Linked DNA regions of Arabidopsis thaliana. The protein of the gene in region 1 interacts with the protein of each later gene in a pairwise test. Each region holds a gene or a part of one and is shown in the gene's direction. Other genes may lie near its edges.

Evidence for each region. The genes of interacting proteins can lie anywhere in the genome.
Region 2: the proteins of ATAF2 (region 1) and AT1G02210 interact in a two-hybrid assay, tested with the Arabidopsis thaliana proteins (one large-scale study listed by BioGRID).
Region 3: the proteins of ATAF2 (region 1) and AT4G22820 interact in a two-hybrid assay, tested with the Arabidopsis thaliana proteins (one large-scale study listed by BioGRID).

What each region holds. Positions count from the first base shown.
Region 1 is NC_003076.8:2,858,119-2,862,814, reverse strand, and holds ATAF2 (NAC (No Apical Meristem) domain transcriptional regulator superfamily protein), read left to right. Parts: upstream 1-2,256; 5' UTR 2,257-2,670; coding exon 2,671-2,830; intron 2,831-2,919; coding exon 2,920-3,200; intron 3,201-3,291; coding exon 3,292-3,702; 3' UTR 3,703-3,966; downstream 3,967-4,696. Other genes in the region: AT5G09210 (GC-rich sequence DNA-binding factor-like protein), read left to right, coding at 1-96; AT5G08780 (winged-helix DNA-binding transcription factor family protein), read right to left, coding at 4,005-4,328, 4,433-4,520, 4,613-4,696.
Region 2 is NC_003070.9:426,510-429,775, reverse strand, and holds AT1G02210 (NAC (No Apical Meristem) domain transcriptional regulator superfamily protein), read left to right. Parts: upstream 1-1,964; coding exon 1,965-2,228; downstream 2,229-3,266. Other genes in the region: NAC003 (NAC domain containing protein 3), read left to right, coding at 1-314, 406-528, 677-874.
Region 3 is NC_003075.7:11,986,611-11,991,096, reverse strand, and holds AT4G22820 (A20/AN1-like zinc finger family protein), read left to right. Parts: upstream 1-2,009; 5' UTR 2,010-2,297; exon of another isoform or gene 2,298-2,674; 5' UTR 2,675-2,695; coding exon 2,696-3,226; 3' UTR 3,227-3,448; downstream 3,449-4,486. Other genes in the region: AT4G22830 (YCF49-like protein), read left to right, coding at 1-91, 363-441, 516-584, 688-801. UniProt on the Arabidopsis thaliana protein: May be involved in environmental stress response.

The sequences.
Region 1 (4,696 bases):
ACACTTGGAAGAATACTCGAGAAAAAGGTTTGCCTCGGGACTGGTCGATACGGAAACCACTGGTCTCGCCCGCAGGTTAAAGAAAATACTTGTTGAGCTCCATGAACATGGACACGCTGAGGAAATTGTCAGATCATTCAGTCTCTAGGAGGATGTTGATCTCCAGCTAACCGATCCGTTTTCCGTAAGGATAAAAGTTATTTAACAATGAATTCGGATTGGATGTTGATCTCCAGCTAACCGAAACCGTTTTCCGTAAGTGACCCAAAATTAAGGCCCAAACGTGACCCATTATTTCCTAAGTTGTTGTGTCGAGAAAGACAAATTGGGCCGATGTTTTTAAGTTGCGGTGACGAATTGATTGAGAGAGAGGGACAAAATGGTGTGACAAATGGATGTATTTATTTGATTTTTTTTTTTTGCAATTAGCAAGTAGTTTGGTTTTTGAAGAAACTTTGCAAGTTGTTTATTACACACGATTATAAGAGGTATGAGCTTTGAGTAAATTCGATTTAGAAACTCGGAAGGTTGGAGAAATCTATCATAAACTTATAATTCACTACTCAAACATTCCAATTAAAATGCTAGAATTAACTACAATATATGCACGGTTTCAAACGAATGTTATATAGTAAGACTTTTGTCATACGCACGCACATAAGAATAAGACAAGTAGTCATATGAATAGAGAATAGTATGTAGTATATGTGATACTAATTGTTGTTAACGATAGGTTCTAAGTTCCGACAATGAGGTCCCAAGTTGTCTCCTCCTTATCCAAATTCTCAAGTATATTCCAATGTAAATTTCTAGAAACGACAAAACATAAAGGTAATAATCCATCACCAAAACATTATATTTGCATAATTTGGGTCAAGTTCGGCAGCTATAACATCAAGCTCCACGAAGCTTCCTATTTCAATTCACACCGCGACTAAATTAACAAACAACTGCAAAAAAACTATAAAGTCGATTTCTCTCTTTATCATAAAAATTCAGATCAAGTCCAGATCCAATTGATCTGAATTTTATAATAGGAACAAATCATGCGTTACGATGTCTTTTATATATTTTCTTGTTTTCTTTTTTTGGTTTAATATTAGTGGTCATATCTTTTATTCTAGACTTGACTGTTATCATCTAAAACGACAGAAAAAAATGAAGTCGTCAGTGCACGAAAATTATTTAGCTAAAAGCCTAAAAGATGTGTATGAAATGATACGACTTATATAACTTGCATTCTTATATCGATAAAGAATCCTTATTGACAACAACAAAAAGTCATGTTTGACCACAAATATTTCGTATTATAATTAATTTGGCTACTAAGGGACTTTTAATAGTAAAAGGAAAAGACCATGATCTTATAAAACATTACGTTGAATCGATCATAATTAGTTTATAATATGATAGAAAACGTAAGTGATGATGATCATAAAACGGGGAACAAGCCCACGTCATGCTTGCATACACACCTACCTCAACTTTACATTTAAAGATTTTAAAATAGAAGAGGATTCATGGGCATTATTTGCTAGTGAATCAAACTTATGAATTATAAATTAAGTCTGTAATGAAAGCGGCTCAATGGGTACTTAATTAAGGATTAAGCTAGTGGTTAAATAGTTGTCCTTAACACATATTTTTATGTAACGGGGAAACTCAAACTAAAGCGCAAACGCTTTCTTTGCGAACTCCAATGTTTTTATTTATGTGAATGTAGTATTATTAGTCGAGAGTATTTATAATTAGTGACTATGATTGGCGATTGCAACTTTAAATGACGTCATCCATCATGACGCAAAGCTTCGCCTGAAGAAGGAAATTAATCAGCTGCGGAGATGCTCACCGTAGTTTCATCAAACTGTCCAATCACCAGTCAAAACTACAACTTCCGCCCCAAGAAATGCTGACTTATCTTCAGCAAGGTTACAATAATGTGTCAATTTCAATATCATAAAAAAGTAGTGGCTGCTGAGATTTTTCTTTTTAAATCTTAGTGGTAAATCTTAGTGGTAAGTAAAGGAACAAAAGCGATAAGCTACACTGAGAAGCAGGAGATTACGGTTTGACATATAAAGGCATTTCCATCTACGAGAAATCCACAAAATTTCTCAAACAAAAAAAATATTAATATTATATTATAATTTAATTATTTAATTAAAAAAGTATTTTTGTTAAAAAATTGAACCAATAGTAAGATGAGAATTGTCATGATGGGTTGTAAAGTATCTCAAAGTTTCTCAAGTAAGAAACTTTCTACACTCTCTTTCCCAATGGAGATGGTCTAAAGTCGGTCAACAATTCACAAAAGGTTTAAGTGACGCAAGCAATGACAACATCTAAGTCGACTATCCAATAATATTACGCCACGTATATATCCAGCTGGCTGCGGTCAGCGTAGAAAAGAAAACGGTCTGTTTTGCCGCACGTGCTTGAAAATCCCCTCGTGTCATCTCTTTTCTGTTTTTTGTGTTTTTTCAATTTAAATTAATTAAAACATTTCGGCGATTTTCGTCCTTATAAAACCTTCGTCGCCTCACTCACATATCCTCGATTACAATCTTGAGCAGACGAAGAAAACCCAAAAAAAATCCAGATCCAGCTGAAATTGAATTTTCAACCAACGAAGAAGAGATTTTTCCAAGAGCAACAGACAAGAAGAAGAGAATGAAGTCGGAGCTAAATTTACCAGCTGGGTTCCGATTCCATCCAACGGACGAGGAGCTTGTGAAATTCTACTTGTGCCGGAAATGTGCTTCCGAGCAGATCTCGGCTCCGGTTATCGCCGAGATTGATCTCTACAAGTTCAATCCTTGGGAGCTTCCAGGTACACCTATGGGCTTCTTCTAATTATTTTTCGCGAAATCATGTGTCTTCGAGAATCGTTGTTTATTGAGATGTTTGTTCTTCTTTCAGAGATGTCTCTGTACGGAGAGAAAGAGTGGTACTTCTTCTCACCTAGAGATCGGAAATACCCAAACGGTTCGCGTCCTAACCGGGCAGCAGGAACCGGTTATTGGAAAGCTACCGGAGCAGATAAACCGATTGGTAAACCGAAGACGTTGGGTATCAAGAAAGCACTCGTCTTCTACGCAGGGAAAGCTCCAAAAGGGATTAAGACCAATTGGATAATGCATGAGTATCGTCTCGCTAATGTTGATAGATCAGCTTCTGTTAACAAAAAGAACAACCTACGAGTAAGTTCTGTTTCTTATTAACTTATGTATCATCTTTTCGTGAATGATGATTTAGATTATTAACTTTGTTGTGGTGGGTTTTGCTGTACAGCTTGATGATTGGGTTTTATGTCGAATATACAACAAGAAAGGAACCATGGAGAAGTATTTCCCCGCGGATGAGAAGCCGAGGACCACGACAATGGCTGAACAGTCATCATCACCTTTTGATACATCAGACTCGACTTACCCGACATTGCAAGAGGATGATTCCAGCAGCTCAGGTGGTCACGGTCACGTGGTGTCACCGGATGTTTTGGAGGTTCAGAGCGAGCCTAAATGGGGAGAGCTTGAGGATGCTTTGGAAGCTTTTGATACTTCAATGTTTGGTAGTTCCATGGAGTTGTTGCAGCCTGACGCTTTTGTCCCTCAGTTCTTGTATCAGTCTGATTATTTCACTTCCTTCCAGGATCCGCCTGAGCAGAAACCATTCTTGAATTGGAGTTTTGCTCCACAGGGGTAAAAACGGAAGAGACCAAAAAAGGTGTTTGCTAGTAGTACTGTGATGTGCCAGAGAGAAGAGTCTCATCTCAACTCATCCCTGGCTCTTAGTAGTAAAAGAAGATTGTAGAATGTTAATAGCTTTTAGCATCAATGTCTCATTAGCAGGCACATTCTTGTTCTTTCATGAGAAGTTTATATGAAAACTAAAAATTTATATTCAAATTCTTCAAGATGTTGCACTTATGTAGATACTGATATTAAATAACAACCTAACCTTTATGAGATATCATGCTCTCCGGAAGCATTTTTTGATGAGTATCATCAGCTGAATCGAGGCGATTTCCTCACAGCTGTTATTCCTATGTCTCTGAGACTTTTGATTCTCGTTTTCTTGACCTGAGGTTTCTTTTTGGAAGACTTCTCTCTTTCCTTCTGTTCAAGCTGTGTGGAGGGTTTTTCAGATCCATTATTCCCACGAGGAGTCTTCATTTTGGGATCCTCTTTGCATAATCCTTTGCTTATACCTTCGAGTTCACATCCTGGAGATACAGAATATGGAACCACGGTTTCATCACATGAATCGATGATCTCAGAGAGCTGGCTTTGTAACTTTTGGGCAGCCTTCCACAGTTCTCTGCAGCTTTCCTGTGGATAAAGAAAAGGAGACAACAAAAAAACATTCAGAACCTGTTTTTCATCAGCTCAAAAACATATCAGTGACATGACGTAACAGGGATTTTTGTCCTCACCATTGATAAAGGCAAACGAGAAACATCATCAATTTCTGAAACAGCTTTGTTCTGCTGGTCTTTCTCTTTGCACTGTTTTAGCATTTTCCTATTTTTCCAACCCCAAAGAGAAACATGAAAATCATTAAGCTAATTCAAAGATGAATAGAAAAACAGGCAACAAAAGGGATCAGAGCTTACTCTAGAGCAATGATATTGCTGCATGCTTCGGTTTGGCACTCCCAAAGTTTTTTATATGCTTCACTCGTGACTTCCACATTTTCT
Region 2 (3,266 bases), on another chromosome or scaffold:
GATCCTCACTTCACAGAGAAGATCCAAGTCAGTTTGGTGATGTGCTGCAAGAAGCTCCAATCGAGGATGCTAAACTGACCGAGGAATTGGTAAAATGGCTGATGAATGATGAGGATGATGCTCAAATCGAGGATGCTATACCGATTGAGGAATGGGAAACATGGTTGAATGATATTGATGATGCTAAGGAGAAGAGTATCATGTTTATGCATGATAATCGAAGTGATTACAGACCTCCAAACTCATTAACTGGTGTCTTCAGTGATGATGTTAGCAGTGATGATAATGATTCTGATTTGCTAACTCCAAAAACAGTAAGCAAATTTCTACTTTTGTACCTTTATAATCCTCTGTTTTCGTATTTCACCTTACAAAGCTCAAGTTTTTGTTTCATTCATTTGACAGAACTCTATTCAAACTTCGAGCACTTGTGATAGTTTTGGTAGCTCAAATCATCGCATAGACCAGATCAAAGACCTGCAAGAATCTCCTACCTCAACAATCAACTTAGTGTCACTAACTCAAGAGGTGAGCTTTCTTATCTCTCTATCTTTCACTGAGGCAAACAATCCTTAATGCTACTTTGTGCCATCACTACTAACAACACAAACAATCAATGATGCTACTTTGTGCCAACACTCATTACAACGACTTTGTTTCTTTGTTATGATTCAAGGTGAGCCAAGCTCTAATAACCAGTATTGATACCGCCGAGAAGAAGAAGAATCCTTATGATGATGCACAAGGGACTGAGATTGGTGAGCATAAATTGGGTCAAGAGACGATCAAGAAGAAAAGAGCTGGTTTCTTTCACAGGATGATACAAAAATTCGTCAAGAAAATTCACCTATGTTCTTCCATCTCAAGAACTTGATAACAATAAAAGTGATCAATAACACCTTTTCTACTTTCCAAATTATTTACAACAGTACAAGTGTATGCTATGATGTCTATCTTGGTTTGTAACTTTACCATACTGTATGTGTGATATGTATAAAACTGGTAAATTTGTGAAGACAAATTTGTATCCATTGACATAATAATGTCTATCTTGTTTTGTTACTTTCTCATCTTGTATGTATGCTCCATTGTGAAGACAAAGTTGTATAATTTCTGCTCATACAGCTAACCAAATGCTCAAATTTTATTTGACGTACCCTATCAAGTATCAATCAACCTCGAAGTACTATTCTAGTCCTACCTAACCCCATAAACAAATTCCATTCAACGAAAGAAAACAAGAATAAATTTCAAATTAAGATGCTTCATTTCAGTAATGTCAAGAGTCTTTTTTTGGACTTTCAAGTCTACATCATATATGTACACGTGCATGTTGTCATGTTGATGGCTAAATCCAAAACCCATTAGACTATTGTTTATTTGTTTACATTATCCTATATCATGTAATTTTAGTAATCTTTCTTTTTCTTCTACATCACTTTCATTCTGTTTCTTGTTAATTCCTCTGTTTCGGCGTTCAAAGACTTTGCTTTCGTTTATTATACATCAAATTACGTACCTTATTCGTTATATCTTCTTCAGAATTAAGGAATTTTTTTATGTTGCCCAAAAAAAAAGAATTTTGTTTTTCTAAATTACCTACATATAAAAATTGTAAACCCTATTTTGCATTTTTCATCGCTCTCTATTGTTTTTAACTTTATGGGTTTATTCGATAAGAATGAAATATCCGGCGGATTTCAGATTCCGGCCGACAGATGACGTTATCATCGAATATTACCTCCTGCTAAAACATCTCGGCATCAAGGAAGGCAATATCATCATTTCATTACCACCGTTAAAATCTCTAGTTACGATCCTTGGCATGTGCCATGAAAGTTTTGGTCAATTAATGCTAGATCATGATTTTCTGATTCAATCATTGATTATAGGCTGATTTCTGATTTAGGTTTTTTTTTTTAATAATTATTATAGCCAAATCAAAGAGCGAGTGGGCTGATACTATGGTATGGTTCTTCTTTAGTTGTGATGAATATAACGAAGAAATATTGAAAACGAATTCGGGTTATTGGAAAGAAACTGTATCCAACACACCAATCATTGGCAAGTGGATAACTAGTAATGGTGTTAAAATTGGTGAGAAACAAGTTTTGGTTTTCCAATCGTATGAAAACATCAATGGATCCAAATCCGATTGGGTAATGCACGTGTATCAACCAACGTTTTTGCCTCCTAATCAGGTAATATTCCGAATTTATGATGTTTAATCACCGTGTCCTTTTTTCTCAACGATGTTATGAGAGAATCTGCCGATTAGCCCTAAAACAATCAAATTTTAGGTTATTTGGTACATATATATATATATATATATATATATATATATATATTATCTTACTTAATTAACACGATCATATATTATATCCTATTTGGTTTAGGTTGTCGAGAAATAGTTAAACAAATCGTACGTGCATGTTATTTGTAAAAATTACCATCCATCTTAGTTAAACTATTGCCTAAAGCTGAGAGTGTTGTGTTTCAAACATCAGGACCACCTCTTCAAATCACAATCTGATATATCTCTACACAATGGTTACTAAGATACATGTCGTATATTTTCTTTATAAATTTGTTAAAAATAAAACTTGAAACAAAGATCAGCCTGAGTAGGTTCAATTTTTGTCTACGTGTGGTATATGATCTTATACGTAGAGTGAGTTTGAACGTTTTAGTGAGATATCTTATGGGCTTTGACGACAGAGAGCATATATTGTCTGCAAAGTAGAGTTCAAAAGTGAAGATAAGGAAGGATATTAGTCGTTGTGGTAAATCTGGTATAATTGAGCTTAATCACTCTTCAACCTCTCGTATTGACCATAACGGAACTTGGCTACTAAGGTCGGTTGAACATTGATTAGTTGTGTCATTGGATATGAATCTTTTGAATATAAAAAGATATGCGCCTACCACTTCTATTTATATTTAAAATATTCATGAAAGGTCGTGAAATATAGTACAACAAAGCAATACTATAATAGAAGAAATTTGTAAAAAGATTTTAAAGATTCCAAATAGCTTTTTTGGTTTTGGATTTTTCTCGAGGTAGTTGAAACTGTGCCATTCGTTGAAAAGTAAATGCGGCGCGTTAAATTTGATGCATCCACGTGACCCAATGAAATCTACATGCCTAGATTTGGTCGTTACTGGCGTTTGGAAACATAACTTGGGCCACCACTACTACTTCACATTCCCTACTCCCAACTCTTGCGAAACAGAGAATCACAACTATAATAATATTTTCTGAAAAT
Region 3 (4,486 bases), on another chromosome or scaffold:
CGGCGGTGGTGGATTCTCTTCAGCTAAGCGAACCGTCCAATGCGTTGTCTTTACCCACTTGGGCCGTTCATGTTTCCAGCGTTGTCGAATGGTTCTCTTCTTCTTCCTTTGCTTTATTGATTGAAATTCTCACTTAGAAAACATTTGACATTTGATCTATAGTGACACAAGAGAGTATTTGATGTTGTGGGTTTTTCGAGTTTTTGATATCATTATGAGAGAAGCTTCATCTACATATAAAGTCTCGATCTTTCACTCACAATGTAGATTAAGCTTCTCTCATTATGGTTTGAAATGCAGTTGGAGCTAACAAACAAGAAAAATGTAATGTCTTTCTAATTCTGGTGTTGTTTTTACTAAAGGATTACGGCGATGGCATTGGTATGGAAGTATGGAGAAAGAAAGGGTTATGAGTCTTGGAAAGGTCTCTCATGGGGAATGGTGAGAAAGCTCTAAGCCGTTTTCCTAGATTACATGATTTCATTTTTCTGAGCTTTTTGGTTGTTCTTAATCAGGTACCTTTGCTTGGTGGAGCTCTCTGTGCATGCACATGGCATTTCTTCTACAACGATGAATCTCTTGAGGTCAAGAAACTCTTGACTCCAACTTTTAGCTATAAGTCTGTGATATGTTTCGTTTGCTTCTTCACTCCTACTTAATGGTGTAATTGTTGGACTGCATTATCAGGTGTTGGTCGCTCTTCAGGCAGCACTAACGGTGTTTGGTAATATCACTCTCTGCATTGCTGCCTTTCGGATCAACAAGTTGTCATCCAAAATTGAAGTCTCTGAAAAGCCATGATGGCTAAACCGATCAATATGAGCAAAGTATAATTGAATTATTAATTGGAGGATCACTAAGATTCTTTTCCCCTTTGAAAAGTTCTATGAGATTCTATGTCAACGATTTAAGTATATTATATAGTCTTTATATGAGGAAGATCCATGTGCATTCAACCTATATCAGTAACCCAAGTTACACAGATTTAGTCTTATCCAGAATCTAGAGTTTGAATTAAATTATAAATTTTGGTTACGTGATCATAAGAACTTCTCCATTTTTGTATAAATGAGATCAAGAAAACAGAAGAAAGAAAGTGCCAAAACTGATAACGTTTTTCCCAGTGTGGCAAGTTTGGCTAAAATTATAAATAAAAGTAGACATCAAAATGCAGATATTGAGATTATCTTAACTCAAAATGCAGATATTGAACGTTTAACATTATCTGAACTAATTATCTTGTTTTGTTATATCATCTTAAATCGAGACCATATATAGTAAAACATGCCAACAAACTCAATCTAGTTAGTTGAAGAAAATCATTGTGTATAACTTACATCTGTCACACACAAAATTGAATCTTTACGTGGGACAGTACGACAATTTTTTTTTTTTTTAAATCCGAATCTCTTGAAGTTAAAAACTATAAGCAAAAATGTGGGGTGGTTGAGCTATTTCTGGTTAGGATCTTAATAAGAAGAAAAAAAATGAACGTAAGTACATAAGTTTAAAATAATAAAATTTTCGAATTATTAAAATAAGATACCAAGTTCCACTTAAATCTTGACAACGCGTTAATCGTGTTTAGACCAAGCCAGGGCGTGATGAAGAAGGCATATCTTATCTTTATCTTCCCCAAAAGTCCACCAATAATACCATCTTAATCATTACTTAAACAACCCCAAAGGCCATTTATACATTTAAATTTGTTAATTTTACCTATTAGTTTGTACTCCTATTATGGGAAAAAAAAACCTACATCATTTTTTTTTGGATCAAACTGGATAAAAAATGTCAATTAATAAAAAAATGGAAAGTCAGAATTCAAAAATAAAGGAAATATACACGTCAGCTACGAAAGTACAGTTCTGACTTCATAACTTTGGAAATTTTACAAAACAGTGCCATTATTATTCCGTTTAGCTGCTCGATGATAAATTATAACCGTCAGATTAGGTCAGCCAAAAGAATCGCACGGTTAAGATTACGAAAGTGTACAATAAGGAGGTGTAGAAGAACACAACTTAAAAAAAGTGAAAACCGTAGCGTGACTCATACCATATAAATATATACACATGTATGTTCCTCCATAGTTACGTGTTTCTGTTTTTCTCTAATTTTTCTCTTGTTGTTCTCGATTAACGAAAAAGACTTGTCGTTCTCAATTCTTATCGATTTAAGAACAAATCATCTAACGAAGATTACTTCCGAAGATCAGAAACAAACACAAACTGTGAATCGTTGTTTGTTAATTCTCTTTAAAATCGCCAGAAGAAAGAGATCTCCGTTTTCTACAGGTAAAAATTCCCAATCTCCTTTGTCTTGTGTATTTTTGATTGATTGATTGATTTAGTTGATTCTGTGTCTTGTCCGATCTGAATTAGATTCTTGTGTTATCTTAGTATTTGTGTTTCGGAAACTCAGATCTACTTTTTTAATTGCATAATTTGATGACGAAATTGTTGTTATCGTAGCTAAAACAAAATCGATCTGTGTCAATAATATAGTTGTACTTTTGTTATGGATCTAATCCTCAAAAACCCGACAACCTTAAAAGATCCTCTGACATTGAGGAATCTTTGGTCTGACTAATCTCATCTATTGTCTTCTTGTCGTGTATATTGTCAATAATCGCAGTGGTAAAATTTTAATTTGAATTTATGTGGTGTAACAGAAGAAAAGCAAGAGAGTAAGAATGGGATCGGAACAAAACGATAGCACAAGCTTCACGCAATCGCAAGCTTCAGAGCCAAAGCTATGTGTTAAAGGATGTGGTTTCTTTGGATCACCATCAAACATGGATCTCTGTTCTAAATGTTACAGAGGCATTTGTGCTGAGGAAGCTCAAACAGCAGTTGCTAAAGCTGCTGTTGAAAAATCTTTCAAGCCTTCTCCTCCTCGTAGTCTCTTCATAGCAGAACCTCCTGCTGTTGTTGTGGAACCCAAACCCGAAAAGGCGGCAGTTGTTGTTGTCTCGGCCGAGCCATCTTCCTCGGCGGTTCCTGAGGCGAACGAGCCATCGAGACCTGCACGAACCAACCGGTGTTTGTGTTGTAACAAGAAGGTTGGGATCATGGGGTTTAAGTGCAAATGCGGGAGCACTTTCTGCGGCGAACATCGGTACCCGGAGACTCATGATTGCAGCTTTGATTTCAAAGAAGTTGGACGTGGAGAGATTGCCAAAGCTAATCCTGTGGTTAAGGCTGATAAAATTCAAAGGTTCTGAAATATGGAAGTTTTTTCTAAGTATTTTGGTGGTAATTACTCATTTGTATTTGAACCGATTTGGGGGTTGTCTTGGATGGTTTTAATGGATTGTTTCCAAAGGGATAGAGGATGATGAATTTGGTTCCGTAATAAAGTGAATCGATGAAGTTTGTTCTTAAACTAAATTGCCAATGAGTTTGACTCATCTCACTTTTACAAAAAAAATTTGGTCATGTTTACAATTTCAATATAGACATCATAAACAAAATAAGTAATCTTACCAATAGACCTTTGACGAAAGAAGGGATAGTGTTAAGTGTTAACCATGGCAAGGCAACCATCGACCCACTATTCAGTTCGCTTTCCCCCTAAGTGTCTTTCCCATTTTAAACTCTCAGTAACAAATCCGCGTAATATACACGCAAAACCTACCACTGGGAGTTTAAAATGAGAGAGATACTCATCGTCCTCCCTATTTTGAAGATGGGAGCATTGTGAAATTTTATAACACTTCAAAATTATACAGACATTCATAACAATAAAGATATACATGAACCAACGATAACACTCGGCCTTTTATCTTCGAAAAAAAGTCATGTTTCCTAAGTGAGCTAACTAATTTATGTCTTGGTATAACATACCAATGTTACATGAATATATAAATTTGAACTTGGCATATATATTAGAGTTTTATCTTATTTGATCAACATGATAGCATATTGGGCCCCATATCGGCCTAAATATATAAATATATTTTTGGGCCTGGAATTTGGTCTGTACATGTAAAGCCCACATGTAAGATTGAGGATATATAAAACTCGATTCTATTAAATAATACTATACAGTATTTGCTAGATGCTGAAGTAGTATACAAATTACAAAGGATAATATATTAACTTTATACATTTATAAAAATGTTGGCAACACCTTGAAAATTCATGAATTTAATTCAAAAGTCAAAACAATTAACATTGATGGAATGATGTTTGTCTCTCTTGAAACTCTGTGAGATCCTAACAAATGAATTCGAGGTAATCACTCTATTGATTATCATTGATCGATTAAATGATTTGAATCTCATCTTTTTTGGATTAACCTTATTGAACTCTGATGCCATACAAAAAAAAAAGTTATTAGTTTTCATTCAAAACATAAATCGATAATGAATGAGTGATCATGTCTTTTATATACTATTGGTGATTTTTACATTTTCCAAATGAGATTGTATAAGTCGCGCGTAGTCACGAAAAGAACATGGTACTCACGAGCAAGCTCACGT